Linked DNA regions of Arabidopsis thaliana. The protein of the gene in region 1 purifies or fractionates together with the protein of each later gene. This does not show direct contact. Each region holds a gene or a part of one and is shown on either strand. Other genes may lie near its edges.

Region 1 (5,042 bases):
CCTTTGCCTCAAGATAGTCCAGTGCTTGTTTTTGTGTATTCACACCTTCGCTAACACACTCCTGAAATTAAATAAGCATTTTGAGAGATAAATATGATGCTTCAGAGATCAAGGCTCGTTAAACCCCACAGGATGAATAGAATAGCATGGAAGAATAAGAAATTCATCAACTTTTACATTCAACAAAAAGGACTAGCTAAGAAATTGGTTTCATATGGCAGGTTCTTTTGTGAGACACAGGTATATGATATTCACACATTACCTATAACTTTCATTAGCTAGAGCAAGAGGGAGAACAATGTCAAAGCAAAACCTTCCATTCTAAGAGCCATAAGTGGCTTCTATATCTTTATGCGTCACCGACCGACCAACGTTGCTCACAAGTGCATCAGACAATATGCATGGTATCAGATTTGAATATCATTATCTATGTATTATGACTTCTTTATGGCAACACGTTAGTATTGGGAGTTGAGTTTAAAAATTAGACATTCACCCTCCTACTAAAATTGTGAGAACAAAACAATCAACCACAAGGGTCACTGCTTCGTAGTTTACTTCGCAAATGAAAGAGATTCAAAAATTCATACAACAAACATTTACATCCATAGAACTACAGTTGCTTCTAGATCTAGAGTTTTATAAATGGAAAGGTTCACTCAAACACCAGTATCATTACGAAAAGACCATAAATTAGACACAAGATAAAAAGCAGGGGGCTATAGTACTTGCCTCAATAGAAGGTAAGAGTGACGCGCTAAAACGGGGATCCCTTCCAACCATTTGTACAATCTCTTGGTCGCTCTCCATTCCCATAGCTTTTAGGACAATTATAATTGGAATCTATGACAAAATCACATGCTCAGCCAATAAAATCCAACGCCGAAAGATCTACAATTAAAGCGGAGGTTGTCATAATGTATCTACACCTTTTTTACAAATCGATGAAGAAATAAATATATCTTCTCCTTTTCCATCTGAATAACTGTTTTGCTTTTTGTCATTTCGGTGCTGCTTGTGACGGATGCATTTATGCTGAAAATACGTAGTAAAAGAAAGAGAGTCAGTAAATAGTAAAATTGATAATTGGATAGTGGTGGGTAAATAACGGAAGAACACTGCTGGAGCATGATACAATGATTTGGCTTGACAATTAATGTATATGGGGATGCTTGCCATCAATATTACTACAGGGACCAAAATACTGTAAGAGATCACTTACTTCCCCTTTTTATCAGAATCAATAATAATTCTGTTCTTCGAAAGTTGTTCTTGTATCAACAACACCTGAAATGAACATCAAACACCAACACACGCAATGGCATGGCTTCAGGTCACGTAAAAAGGAAAGGATTCCATGACAAATCGGATAACTCTATTGACATAAGAAACTAAAAACCAAAACACGCCAATTAGAACGAGAACGGTGTTAACAGTTAAATAAACACACTATCAAGTCTGAACTAAAGATATGCAACAACACAGAACATGTATCCACTAAGTCAAAGTGCGGACTACTAGGCAATCTATAGACTCCATAAGATGCTGTGAGTAGATTGTATATACGAAGTATGAAGCACCTTCTCAGTTCCTTTAATGATGAAGTATCCTCCAGGATCAAGAGGGCACTCACCTAGAATCCAAATGAAATACAATAAATATGATGAACAAGAAGATGTAATGCTTGAAATAAGAGTACAATACAAACCCAATCTTGCAAGTTCCTCTTCGTCTTTTCCATGTAATACACAGCGGCAACTCCGCAACATAATAGGCATCCTTCCGATAATTACATTATCCTGAAATAAAGAAACATCATATTCAGCCTGAATTTTCCAATAACCAGCAGTTTGTATAATACATTTTGTTTTTCCCATTTACCTTTGCACTTTTTGCCTTGTTTCCATGACTTCCGTGAACATATTCTATATTGACAAATATTGGAGCAGCATATCTGATGATTAAAACAAGAAGTTTTAAGACATTTAACACAGCCAAGAGAAAAAAGAAAGTTATTGATGATGTGGAAGAATGCAGAACAACAGAAACAGGTGGAAAATGCAAAAGATATCACCAAATTCTAACTGCCCAACATATGCTCAAACATCGAACAACAAAAAAAATGTAAATAAAAGAACTCTTTACGTCATGTCTGCTAATCGGCACATGTGCGGATTAATATTTTCCACCGTATTAACGTTTATAATTGACGGTTCACCAACTCTGACCTTCTTAAACCTGCATTAAAATTTGGCTACGAAAGGTTAGTTTAGGAAAGAGCAGAAATCCAATAAATAGAACAATCTCAATTTATATATCAATGTTGTAGGACGATTAAAAAAAGACTTCAAAACACCAACGGTTCTACATACTGATTATGAAACAAAGTATATCAATATACATATGTAAAGAAATTGAGATAAAAAAGATGATAAAAAAAGTTTGACCTTAGGTAGATTGATGGGTCCACTGTGGATGTAATACGACTATTTGCCTTAACAATCTTATGAATCCCGACATTGATAAAGTAGTTGAAAGAATCCAGGTGTTGCTTCACAAGTCCTCTCACCTACAAAAACAAGACAATTACACAATCAAATTATGGATTACCTTTGCTACCAAGATTACATACATTCCAAGTAGTATCAAAGACTTTGAAAGTAAAGTAACCCAATTGCATTGTTTCAGCTATTCGTATAAAGCAAAAATAAAGATTTTTGTGTTCTGTGTAGTACCTTCAAGAACTCAGGAACGAGCTGGAATTTATCTGCAGTAGACTTGATAGGAGCTGAAAGCTTTTCCTTGTCAATGAAATGATCATCATTGGTCAAGCTGTTTCAATAGAAAGAGTAACATTAGACATATATCTAAATAGTTCAATTAAAATCCAAAATCAATGAAGAATTAACAAAAAAAAACCATACTCTAAATCTTCTTGATCAAGTCCCATCGCTCTTAACTTTGCAATTAAGCTGTCAGTTATCTGAAATCCATGGAGAAATATAATTAACATCAACACATCATAATCACAAGAGAATTAAACCACAAAAACCCAAATACTGAATCCTAGTTTTCCACAATTTCATCAAAATTCAAATAAAACCCAGAATTTCCCAGAAACCAGTCGTTTTGAGAATTGAAGACGAAGCATTGTGATTTACAGAGAAGAAACAGTAAGAGAAGTAAACCTAACGACTCTACGAGTACCGGAAATTTGTGGAAGAGATTGTGAGGGGATTTTCGTGTGATTTCAAAAAGGAGATTGAAGATGAAAATCGAAGAAGAGAACCTGCGATTCGAAGGAGATTGAAGCTGGAGTTGATACAGTCGCTTCGCTGGCTGAAGATTTTACACAGTCGAAGTCGGTTAAGGGAAGAGGTTTAAGAGACGGCGAAAGGGTTTTAAACAGTATCTTTGCGTTTATTACTTTTTTTTTTGTCATCCTTTGCGTTTATTACTTATTGGTATTTAATTCACTTTAGTAGTCCTTCTTTTCTTTTTACGTTTTGAATTGTTACCCAAACTTCAAAGTTGATTAATATTTGCCAATAACCACAATTGGCCTCTAAGGAGGGTGTATTCAAATTAGAATTTAAGAAGAGGCTCGGTATAGTTTAAGGCAAATGTCTTTGTTTTCTTTTTTTTTTTTTTGGCCGGAAAACGGGAGAAGTCTCCCGCTTTATTATTCATAACAAAAGAAAAAAGAACTATAACCGAACAAAACGTAACCTTGAGACCCCATTGGCATCTTCCAACAAAATCGGATTAACAATATCCGGTGGAAGATTAAAAGAATAGAAACCTAAAGGTAAAGAAAAAGCATAGTTCGCTAACCCATCCGCTAGACGGTTAGCCTCCCTATACACATGTGACACACGGACTAACCAGTCCCTTGATAAAAAAGCCATAGCACAAACGTACTAGGAACGACAGGGGGTGAGAGTCACTGATCCCTGAAGTTAAAAACCCCACCACAATCTCCGAGTCCACCTCTAGCTCCAACCTCGCGACCCGCCTCTCCCAAGCTATGTAAAGTCCATAGTAGACCCCCCACAGTTCTGCCAAAGGAGCTGTACAAATCCCAATATTAAGCACAAAGCCTCCAATCCAATTGCCTTCCTCATCCCGCAACGCACCACCTGCAGTCGCCTCTCCGGGATTCCCATGCGACGCCCCATCCGTATTCAGCTTGACCCAGCCCTCATTTGGTTTCCTCCATGAGACTTGTCGCTCTACCCGCACAATCTCCTTCGTATTCCCGGGGAGCTTTAAGTGAGCAGCTGAAACCTCATTTGCCAAATCCTTAATGAACCGTAGTCTATCCCGACAGCGGCCAACCTCTCCAAAAACATTTCCACAACGCCATTTCCAACCCCACCAAGCTGCCAATGCAAAAACTGTGGACCAAACACTGCCTCTCACCTCACCGTGGTCTCCCAGATTTACATACAACCACTCAAGAATAGACTTCTCAAAGAAAAGGCGCCGTTTGCTCACCGGGACAAGCCGTAGCCATATTCCTTCCATTGCAGGGCAATCTCTGAGAACATGGATAATAGACTCTTCCGCTCCCTTACAAACTTGACAGATGCTCGTGGTACTCAAATGTCGACGATGCCTTTCTTGATTCGTCATAATGGCTTGTTGTGCTACTAACCAGAGGAAGAGTCTCACTCTCTCAGGCGCAGTCACGTTCCATACTTGGTCAAAGAATCTCTTCATATCTTGTCTCGGCGCCTCATCTCTAGTAAGAAAAGAATAGGCGGTGCTCACTTTGAATCTCCCATCTTGACTCTCCCCCCACGATATTCTGTCTCTAGCTCCCGTTATATCATCTAAAACAACCGATTGTAATTGTAATCTGTTATAAGAAGATATATATGGAGCTATCGCCGCCATATCCCAACCGATCCCATTTCTCCAAAGATCCCTAGCTCGCATTCCTTTCCAACCCGCCGGAAGCTCCTGAACCAACAACTCAGCTAGAGGAATATTTGTTAGCCACTTATCCATCCAAAACAGAATCTCCCGACCATCTCCAA
Region 2 (5,301 bases), on another chromosome or scaffold:
AATCATGTAGATTCTAATTTCAAATATATAATAAAGCATGCAAAATAAATAAATTAATTAAAAATTTAACTAAGAAGTTTCAGATTTAAACCCATAATCTCTTCTAAAAAATGAATAATACATATCAATTTAGTTTCTTTTTCACCAACGGTGAAATCGACATTTTTTTTTATTTTTTGGAACTTCGGATGGTACATTGATGAAGCTACCAAAACCAAGTACTAAATGTGTTACGTATTATATAACTTTTTAAAATAAATACATAATAAAAATTAATATTGAAAATGATTACACAATTATCTTACAATTAAAAATTGTTACACCAACCCTTCGTAGAAATATTAGGTGGTAACAAAAATAAATTAATGATTATTGAGAGCTTAACTTATAATGAGCTCATTTGAGTTGTTTGATCCTCAAGTCCCAACCACCAACCCATAACCCATTCAACATGTTTCCAGTTGGTTTGCATAATGTAAATGAATACTACACACACGAGACAACCACAACATGCATATATGAATAAGATATATATGGTTGAAATTGGAAACAAACTAAACGTTATTTTTACTTTTTAGTTCCACAAAAACTTTTGGATATGTTTTGATCAATAGTGGAATTGGGGCAGCAAAACAAAACTAGAATCTAAGAGTTTGGTTTTAGTCGTTTTCAAATATACGTGTTGAAAGTGGCCTATGGATGGATGGATTCATTTTTTTCCAAAAAAACAAACCGGTCTAATTAGACTGAGCGGTTATCCAATACCAAACCAAACCAACTATTTATTAAGTCAAAGGTAATCCAATGAGCAATTTCAAATCTAACAAAGCAACAACACACAGTGAAAAAAATCCAATGAGATAGAATCAACAGCTTTATCCATGGCTGAGTTCTAATATCTAAATGATGCTCAACACTACTTTACAAGAATCTCTTGAGTCTTTGGAGTCTTCAGGATCAGTTTTGAGGGATGTTTGATCATTGTACAATACCGTGGTCACGAAGGATCTAGAAATTTTCTTGCCACTCAAACTTTTCAGTTCATCCACAGGATGTTCTCGACTTCACAACATTCCAACTTTGTCAAAAGATTGGAGATTCTCAGCGATTTTTTGAAGTGCTTCTTCACTCATCTCAACTTTTCGGACTACACCCGGAAAGATCTTGTTCTTCTCGGAAGCAGCAGTGGGAGAAACTTGACCACAGAGCTTTGATTTCATCTCTAAGCAAGATTTGAGATCCTCTTCGGTTCTTGCTTTGTTCAGTTTATCGATTATTTCATTCAAAGCTGAACCTTTCTCTTCCCATTTCTTTCTTTTGACCCGCCTTTTGATATCATCTTGATCATCTGAAGAACTGCCTAAATCCAGTCTCTTAAGCTTCACCAAACCGGCTTTGACTGTCTCCGCGATCCGCTTCTTAAAGCTCTCTGTTCTTGCAGAGTTCGATCTCAGCCTCAGTTTAAGCTCTGAAACAATATTTTCCTCTTTGTTTTGCTCAGGAGCTGCTGTTCCATGACTCTCTTCATCAGGAACAGATGTAAATGAAAATGCTTCTTCGAGTAAATTCACATTACTCATGTACCGATCAAAAGCTTCATTTTCTACTTCAATGTTTCTGTCTCTGTACTCTTTTAGCTTTGTAAACCGCCACTCGTTTAAAGCTTGAGCATCCTATAGAATATAGACAGAACAAAAACTGATAAGAGGAAAACAACTAAATGGAGATTTTTCATAGAGTACTAAAGTCAATGAAAGACGTCTTAATTAGTATACCTTTATCGTCAAAGGTTTTCTCTGGCGGGAAGAAGCATTCAGGTTATTAAACTGAGCAAAGTTGCTAGAAAGTTGCCGGATTGACGAAACTCTAGTGGTACTCCTGAAACAATTTCCAAAAGAAGAAAACGTCAACATAAAGCGCCATATTTTAGTTCCACAAGACCAATATATCATCTCACTATCAACTACGTGCAATAAAACAAGAAAGCTGAAGAATCTCCTATCAAAGTATTAGTAAGCAAACACCGGTTTATCATCTAAGATTCACTTGCCCATGGAAGCACAAACAAAACAGAAAATTAGTTTATATATATGTACCCGGGAGTGCCCTCGGTTGCTTTCTGCTCTGAAGATGGAGTACTTGGCGCCTGCGTCTTCTCACCAGACGTTGAAGCTACTTTAAGAACTGCAGCGAAATAAAACACATAAGAAGAAACACAAAACAGTCCATGATAACATCTCTATATCTCTCAGCTAATCACAAGCACATTCCAAGAATCAGTCTTATGGTTCTTTATAGGTTTTTTTGTCCCGAGACAACCAAACGAACCCTATAGAAGTCAAGAATACTAAACTCTAAACTTACCAAGTGAAAGAATAGAACTCTCCAATCAAAGTTATCAACACTAAACTCTAAAACTGATCACTTTAGCTAATTATGAAGTTGAGATTTGACAGGGCAAACATACCGTGAATCGGGCAGGGATTCTCTGCTCTTGAACAACAACCCTTACAAGATTGAAAAGGGCACCTGCATTTATCAAATCCAAGCAATACAATTACAATTACTTCACCAATAATCTCAAAAAACTGATCTTTCGATACTAAAGCTCAAAACTTTAAACAATCTCCAACAGATTAATCACCAAATCATGAATAAAAACCCAAACCCACAAACCTATGAACCCTAAATCAAAACGAAAAAGTACTATACAAGACAAATTCGAATCCTTTCAGATCAAAAACCCAAGAACAATCCATAAATCGAAACCCCAGATGTAAAAAACCTAAGTCCTTCGATGAAACAATGCGTAGAAGCAATACCTGGAGCGAGCTACATTGCCGCATTGAATACACTTAGGCTTATTGAGACCACGGAGAGTTTTGGGAGGCGTGACGACGGAGGAAAGACCATTGTTACTCAGAGACGGTGACGAAGTCGCCATTGATAAAAAGTAACGGTTTAAATTAAAACCGTTATTCAACGAAAGAGATAACTAACGACCAAATAAAACTCGTGCGAGTGAGTAACAAAAAATTTGGAATCGAAAGGATTGGTTTTTATTTTTTTTTGTCGCTCTGATTTTGCGAAGTGCTCTCAATCGCTCGATTTCACGGCGGGTCTAGGGCTCCGGTTATTAATAATACCACGTGAGTCGTTTTTATATGGGCCTGGGTTTTAAAGCCCAATATAATTTCTCTTTAAATTGAACCGAACTTAACCAAATCATGAACTTTATCCGGGATCAGACTTGTCAGATAAATCAATATAAGCCCAAAAAAAGCCCAAGTAATTAGGTTATTCTATCGAATCAGATTCACATATATATAGACGTTATTGTTCATATGAACAATAGAACATCAATCTAAATAATTTAGTGTTTGCCGTTTGGGCAAATCTTTTTCTTCCTCATCTCTTCCTTCGCTTTGCTTTAGAGTCTTTTCATAAGTAAAAGAAACAAAAACAATAAATCATTCTACTAATTGACTTGTAACTCGAAGCTTTGATTTGGACGTTACAAGTGGTATCAGAGCTTCACACTAGAAGCTTCTAGATAGAAGTCAATTTGGCAGACAAAACAATGCATTTAGATTTTGGTGCATTCAACTTCAGAGTGTTTTCATATTTTTATACTACTCTATACTATTTTGCAATTGATATCGCTTTCTAACTTATTATTCTGATGCATCGATCGCTATATGATTATATTGCGTAACCTTGGCTGATTTTGCAGCTTCAATATACTTAGAGTCAATTTTGTACTTGGCTGATTTTGCAGCTTCAATATATTTAGAGTCAATTTGTATGGACTTGCAGATTTGGATGGGTTAACACATAAAAATATAGTTTATACTTTATAGACATGATTATTTAATTAATTAGTTGATTTATCATTGGTTTTAGATTTAGTAGACTATGAGGACTGTCAAGAGTCCACACGACGATCAAACTAAACAACTCTGATGATAATAGAGACTACAAAACAAAACAGAACTGAACAATTTTACAAAACAACAATTAAAAAGTATAATTTAATCGGAATAATAATATTTGCTCACCAATATATAAATTTTAATTATTCTTCTTCTTTTTATTTATTTGGTAAATATTTAACCATCCATTCATGATTTAACGATTACAATCGAGATAAATACCATTGGATAACAAAATATTACGAAAGATTTCCTCACCAATTCTTCGCGACATAGTGAACGTACATCTCTCAAGTTGTTACTTGTAAATTGCAATCATTCGCATAATCTATGTTGCATGAAAACGGAAACGGAAATGCGGATACGAAACGTTTCGGAAACGGGAAACGATTTTTTCTTAAAATTAGGGATTGGAAACGTTTTGGAAACGTATACACATTTATACATATATATAACATTATATATATATATATAACATTAACATAAAACTATATTAAAGAAAAAATGATTTAAACAATACAAGTCCAAAATATCAATATTAAATAAATAAACTAAAATTCTAAAAGATAAAAATTAAAAGGTTCAAGTTCAAATAGTTAATTTAGACCAACATTTTCATTAGTTTTATCAAAGATAATATAAAGCTCTTTTCAAATCTGGTTTAACAAAAGAAAGATCTTAAAACTCAAAGTCTTCCAAAATTATTTATATGTAATAATAATTTTAATATTTTCAATTTTAGTTATTAAATTTTTAAAGTCAATAAAAAAGATTTGTCGTATGTCTATTTCGGAAACGTGAGTTTCTATTTTGGAAACGTAAGTTTCCATCGTGTTTCTAAACCTAGATTTTTAGGAAACGCGTTTCCGTGACGTTTTTCGTATTTCCGGAGAGTTTCCGTTTCCGAAACGTTTCGGAAACGAGAAACGCACCTCGGAGCGAGTTTCCATGCAACCTAGCGCATAATCTTGCAAAAAAAAACATTAATACATAGGCCTTGGTTATTTTTTAATCCAACTTCTCTATAAATTGAACCTGAACTTAAACCAAATCAGAAATACATAAATCGGTCGGTTTGTGAGGTATTAATCCGAGATATGAGATATTTTTTCTTTTTCTTGTTAACAAATTAAAGGAGCAAGAATCGTCCTTATCAAGTAAGGACTTGATTTTCCAAAATATATTTGAATTCCTTTTTTGTAGGATCTTTTGTGGATCTAGTTGGCAAGAGTGATGTGTATATAAAAATGTTAAAATTGATTAATAGCCACAATGAATAATTCTGCCAATGAACTTGTACTTTGTAGCTTCAATCTAGACCTAACATTGGGTATTAAAGCTTCTATATATATAGAAGCTCTGATACCAC
Region 3 (5,099 bases), on another chromosome or scaffold:
CTTGAATATCCATCAAATTAGCAGAAACAAAAAGAAAGATTCAAAGCCATCTCTTATCACTTCTATCTATACATTCATCTTTAACCACTAACTAATTTTATATCACCAATCAAACCATTTTCCAAATATATTCTTCTTATTGTTCTGATATTTTTCTACCAAATGTTTAGTGTGTGAATCAGTTAACCACTATCTTGTATGAACATAAAGAAAGAAAGATTGCAATAACTTGATTTTAGAGTTTAGTTTTGAGATGAGTTGTCTCGAAATACAGGTATGTGTGTTTAAAGCAACGGTTATATATTCTTTCAACTCCATAATATACCAAAGAAGAAGGTTACTAAAATCTTCACGAAATTCAAGTTTAGCAAAATATATGTGGAATACGCAATTAACGTTTGTAGAAATGCTCTAGTTCGCGTTGTAGAAAGTTGTTGGTCACAATTTATGGGTTAATTAGGTGGTTAATGGTTATGGTTGTTCAAAATATAATTATGTTCTACTATACGAACCGAATCCAAATAAAAATGTATAACAAGAGAAAACGTCTCCTCGTCTACAAGAAAAGACACATTGATTTTGAAGAAAGAGTAATAATAACAAAAAATGTAAAGACAAAACACTGTATTATGTGTGACTTAATTCTTGTTAGTTTATTGTATAGTATATGAATATGATTAACCAATACACTATTCTAACGTCAAAACGTGATTATTTGGGTTATTTTATTTTCAATTTGAATCACAAAATATCTCAAATTTGTTTTTAGTAAAGATCAAACAAAACACATGTCGAAGCTATGCGAGAGAAGAATCCATCTACTTTTTGTTCAACAACACTGCTTTTTTAATACATAGCAAATGATTAAAGTTTACAACACAATCAATTAATCAAACCCACTAATCTAGAGAAGACTTTTACATGCCCCAGATTCCTCTAGCTGAAGCAACTCTGCTATTAGATCTAGCAGTGAGTTCATACAAAATCCTAGCAAATGAATCAGAATACTTACCCTCTTGAAAAAGCAGCTCAGCGAAAGCATTCTCATACGCGAGTAGCAATCCTCTGTTTTGAGGCTCCGAGACAAGGTTCTCAAGGATCATTGCAGCTTTCCTACATACTTCTGGAACCGGATGCGGAGTCTTTATCACTTTCAGCAACCTATCAACCGCCCTGAAAAAGATCATAATGGTGTGTCATTGTTGCGATCTAAAAACAGTTTGATTGTATTCGATAGAGAGGGAGTATAGTTTTTGTTTACCATCTCTCACTTGCTAGCTTTAATCTGCAATCCATGTTAACTTCCACGAGATTGTAGAGTGCTCCAACAGCTGCAGCTTGTGCATCAACGGCTTGTATGCTCAAAAGATCGATTAGTCGCTTGTGTATCTGCAAGGGATAGGTCCATTGTTGGGTTTAAATACTAGTTAAAACGAGTAAGTAGCCAGAAACCATATGAAGATTATAGAAGTTAACAAACCTGCGGAATTAAAGGACTAATGAAAGGTTCATTGTCCGGATTGATTATCAAACGCCCTAGCAACTCAGCAGCAGCACAATTCCAAGCTTTGACAGAAGAATTGAGGATTCCGACCACAGCTTGAACAGCTTTCTTTTCACTATATGCACAAGAGTAATGAATGATTCACATTGGTATTTGAAACAAGTTATGGATTGTGTAACTAAGAATGCAGGGAGATACAACTTCTCACTTTATGTTGATGTATGACTGCTTAAGCGAGCTGAAAATTCGAAGATCCATCAAATGCGCTAGGTTTACAATTGTCTCTAGCGAGTTTGTGACCAGCTCTTCATCCTCTGTTAACAAAAGATTGTCTTAAGACCATAGTTCCCAATCAAGTATCAAGCAAATAAGGAAACAGAGAGAATACATTCAAGCCAATTCAAACCAATAAGAAATAAGAATCTATCAGAAGCAAATGTAAGGAATTATAACTAGTAAAAGAAACAAAAAGGTTGGGATTGTATGTATCAAAACATTAGTATTCTTCCTTACCGGTCATATGATCGTGTATGCACTGGAAAACAGTTTCTAAGCAATGGCGATGCTGAGCCATTACAACTTCATTATCAGGCATGAAGGAGAAGTTGCGGATAACGTTCGATGCAGCAATAGCACACATTTGTTTCTCTGATCTCCCTTCATCGTCTAGATTAAACAAACCATCCTCTTCCATCCACCACTGAGATGACTGATGTTTACCAGTGCTCTTTTTTCCTAATGCCTCAGCAGCAGAAGAACCAATCCCGGATCTGCTAGGCCAAATATTAACAACACTTAGGTTCTAATTCTAAATATAAGCAACAATCATTTAAAACTGTAATCAAAGCAGTATCGAAATTAGCTCACCCAGGGGGTTGAATAGAGGCTAGAGCATCATACTCATTGCCAAATCCCGTAACTGAAGCATTTGTACCTAAAGTTCTAACTCTAGTTCCTCTTGTCAGGTCCTTTGGGAGAGCTATGTCACGCCAATCATCTATCTGCCAAAGTTTTAGCATCATGTTGGTTCAAAGAACAGAGAGGAAAACACAATCCCAACACCTAAACAATTAAATAAACTCACAATTAAGAGAAGGGCATCAAGCAAGCCAGCTATCTTAGCAAGAGGCATGACATCTCTTCGAATATCTTCTTTTTCCTTGAAGGAAAGCAACGTAAGTGTGTTCAATGCCCATGTCACCTCACTCTTCAAACCACTCTGCAACGCAAGAACTATTCTTCTATTGTTCTGCTCTATAAATTCCAATGATCCCAATGAAAATTACCGATTAAAAACTCGTTCACAAGAAGAAAACAGAGAGGAATTATAGAGTGGTCATTGCGAGCTTACCGACGAAGGAATTGTGAACTAGAAGAGAAGGACCAAGTAAAGCTGACGGTGACATCGCGTCCGCTGCTGCCGCCGCTGCAGCAGCAGCAGCTGAGTTAGCACTTGTACTACCGAAGGGACGGCCTCTCTTCGCTGGTGGACCCGAAGATCCACCGGAATTACCGCCGGATTTCCCAAGCTCCCGTTTCTGCATCTCTCTCTAATTTGGGGCTAAAGTTAGGGTTCGGAAATTTTGACCCGAAAGATTTATTCCGGTTTAAAAGTCCCAAGACGATTTAAAAATTAAAATTGTTTAAAGAGCACTAAACACTTTTTGTGAGTCAGAGGGTTTCGGTACAATTGAAATTAAAAACGTTTTAGACCGGTTTATTCCGGTTGAAGAGTCCGAGACTATAATTAAAATTGTTAAAAGAGAGCACTAAACCGTCTCTCTGGTTTACAGGGTTCCGGTTTAATTAAAATCAAAAACGTTCACGTCTTCTTGTATATGTTTATACAGACAAACTTGCAGAGGGAAATCGCCAAACCCTGCGCCGCCGTTGTTTCGCCGCCGAAGCAAGTTTCGCACCATTCTTCTTCAAACGTCTGAGCTCCATCAACTGATTAAGGTGATTTTTTTACATATCACTCAATTTTTGAATCGAACTTTTTAAAATATTATGGAATCTTCAAAGAGCATCTCTCTCGTTTTTATCTCTCTTTGATTCTTACGAGACGTGCACAACTCTGTGGATTCGATTCAAAAATTCGTGAGCTCTCACACAAGGTTTTAGGATTTGGATTATGTTTTGTTGAAGTTTTCTCTACTAATTTGAATCGCATCGATTCTGATAATGTAATCCTTGTATATATTGAATCTGCAGGTAGCTGTGTGTTTTGTAAATTGAAGAGATGGATGAATCTGAAGGTAGGAAAGTTAGGAACATATGTATACTAGCACATGTAGACCACGGTAAGACGACTCTCGCCGATCACCTAATTGCTTCTTCCGGTGGCGGTGTTCTTCACCCGAGACTTGCCGGGAAGCTTAGGTTCATGGACTATCTAGATGAAGAACAGAGACGTGCAATCACGATGAAGAGCTCTTCGATTTCTCTTAAATATAAAGACTATTCTTTGAACCTGATTGATTCTCCTGGTCATATGGATTTCTGTAGTGAAGTCTCAACAGCTGCTCGGTTAAGTGACGGTGCGTTGGTTTTGGTTGATGCTGTTGAGGGAGTTCATATTCAAACGCATGCTGTGTTGCGTCAAGCTTGGATAGAGAAGTTGACTCCTTGTTTGGTGCTTAATAAGATTGATAGGTTGATTTTTGAGTTGAGGTTGAGTCCTATGGAGGCGTATACTCGTTTGATTAGGATTGTTCATGAGGTTAACGGGATTGTGAGTGCGTATAAGTCAGAGAAGTATTTGTCGGATGTTGATTCTATACTTGCTAGTCCTTCAGGGGAGTTGTCTGCTGAGAGTCTTGAGTTGTTGGAGGATGATGAAGAAGTTACTTTTCAGCCTCAGAAAGGTAATGTAGTATTCGTGTGTGCTTTAGACGGGTGGGGTTTTGGGATTGCGGAGTTTGCTAATTTTTATGCCTCCAAGCTTGGAGCTAGTGCGACTGCGTTGCAGAAATCGTTATGGGGTCCTCGTTATTATATTCCTAAGACTAAGATGATAGTAGGGAAGAAGAATTTAAGTGCTGGAAGCAAGGCGAAACCAATGTTTGTGCAGTTTGTGCTTGAGCCTTTGTGGCAGGTTTATGAAGCTGCACTAGATCCTGGTGGGGATAAAGCCGTTCTTGAGAAAGTTATCAAATCTTTCAATTTGTCTATTCCACCACGCGAACTTCAGAACAAGGATCCAAAAAACGTGCTTCAATCGGTGATGAGCCGTTGGCTTCCTCTGTCTGATGCAGTCTTGTCTATGGCTGTGAAACATCTGCCAGACCCCATTGCAGCACAGGCATATAGAATCCCACGCTTGGTTCCAGAAAGGAAAATTATTGGTGGTGATGATGTTGATTCAAGTGTCCTGGCAGAAGCAGAGCTTGTTAGAAAATCAATCGAGGCTTGTGATTCTAGCAGTGACAGTCCTTGTGTTGTGTTTGTGTCGAAAATGTTTGCTATTCCAATGAAAATGATTCCTCAAGATGGAAATCACAGAGAGAGGATGAACGGTTTAAATGATGATGACAGTAAAAGCGAGTCAGATGAGTGCTTCCTTGCATTTGCTAGGATCTTTAGCGGGGTACTT

The links.
Region 2: the proteins of NRPC2 (region 1) and AT1G32730 fractionate together in Arabidopsis thaliana (co-fractionation; one large-scale study listed by BioGRID). This does not show direct contact.
Region 3: the proteins of NRPC2 (region 1) and LFR fractionate together in Arabidopsis thaliana (co-fractionation; one large-scale study listed by BioGRID). This does not show direct contact.

What each region holds. Positions count from the first base shown.
Region 1 is NC_003076.8:18,254,764-18,259,805, forward strand, and holds the start of NRPC2 (nuclear RNA polymerase C2), read right to left. Parts: upstream 3,435-5,042; 5' UTR 3,290-3,434; exon of another isoform or gene 3,208-3,289; intron 2,984-3,207; 5' UTR 2,951-2,983; coding exon 2,925-2,950; intron 2,833-2,924; coding exon 2,736-2,832; intron 2,570-2,735; coding exon 2,448-2,569; intron 2,239-2,447; coding exon 2,146-2,238; intron 1,955-2,145; coding exon 1,882-1,954; intron 1,800-1,881; coding exon 1,709-1,799; intron 1,634-1,708; coding exon 1,581-1,633; intron 1,288-1,580; coding exon 1,223-1,287; intron 1,036-1,222; coding exon 930-1,035; intron 844-929; coding exon 733-843; intron 62-732; coding exon 2-61; intron 1-1. UniProt on the Arabidopsis thaliana protein: DNA-dependent RNA polymerase catalyzes the transcription of DNA into RNA using the four ribonucleoside triphosphates as substrates. Second largest core component of RNA polymerase III which synthesizes small RNAs, such as 5S rRNA and tRNAs.
Region 2 is NC_003070.9:11,838,720-11,844,020, reverse strand, and holds AT1G32730 (electron carrier/iron ion-binding protein), read right to left. Parts: upstream 3,112-5,301; 5' UTR 2,945-3,111; coding exon 2,823-2,944; intron 2,530-2,822; coding exon 2,468-2,529; intron 2,185-2,467; coding exon 2,097-2,184; intron 1,879-2,096; coding exon 1,776-1,878; intron 1,674-1,775; coding exon 1,065-1,673; 3' UTR 713-1,064; downstream 1-712.
Region 3 is NC_003074.8:8,161,964-8,167,062, reverse strand, and holds LFR (ARM repeat superfamily protein), read right to left. Parts: upstream 3,123-5,099; 5' UTR 3,049-3,122; coding exon 2,856-3,048; intron 2,759-2,855; coding exon 2,589-2,758; intron 2,506-2,588; coding exon 2,372-2,505; intron 2,275-2,371; coding exon 2,018-2,274; intron 1,819-2,017; coding exon 1,713-1,818; intron 1,620-1,712; coding exon 1,481-1,619; intron 1,390-1,480; coding exon 1,262-1,389; intron 1,174-1,261; coding exon 918-1,173; 3' UTR 713-917; downstream 1-712. Other genes in the region: AT3G22980 (Ribosomal protein S5/Elongation factor G/III/V family protein), read left to right, coding at 3,747-5,099. UniProt on the Arabidopsis thaliana protein: Involved in leaf and flower development. Plays roles in leaf development partly by associating with AS2 and repressing KNAT1/BP transcription. Required for the formation of anther cell layers and normal expression of genes that regulates anther development.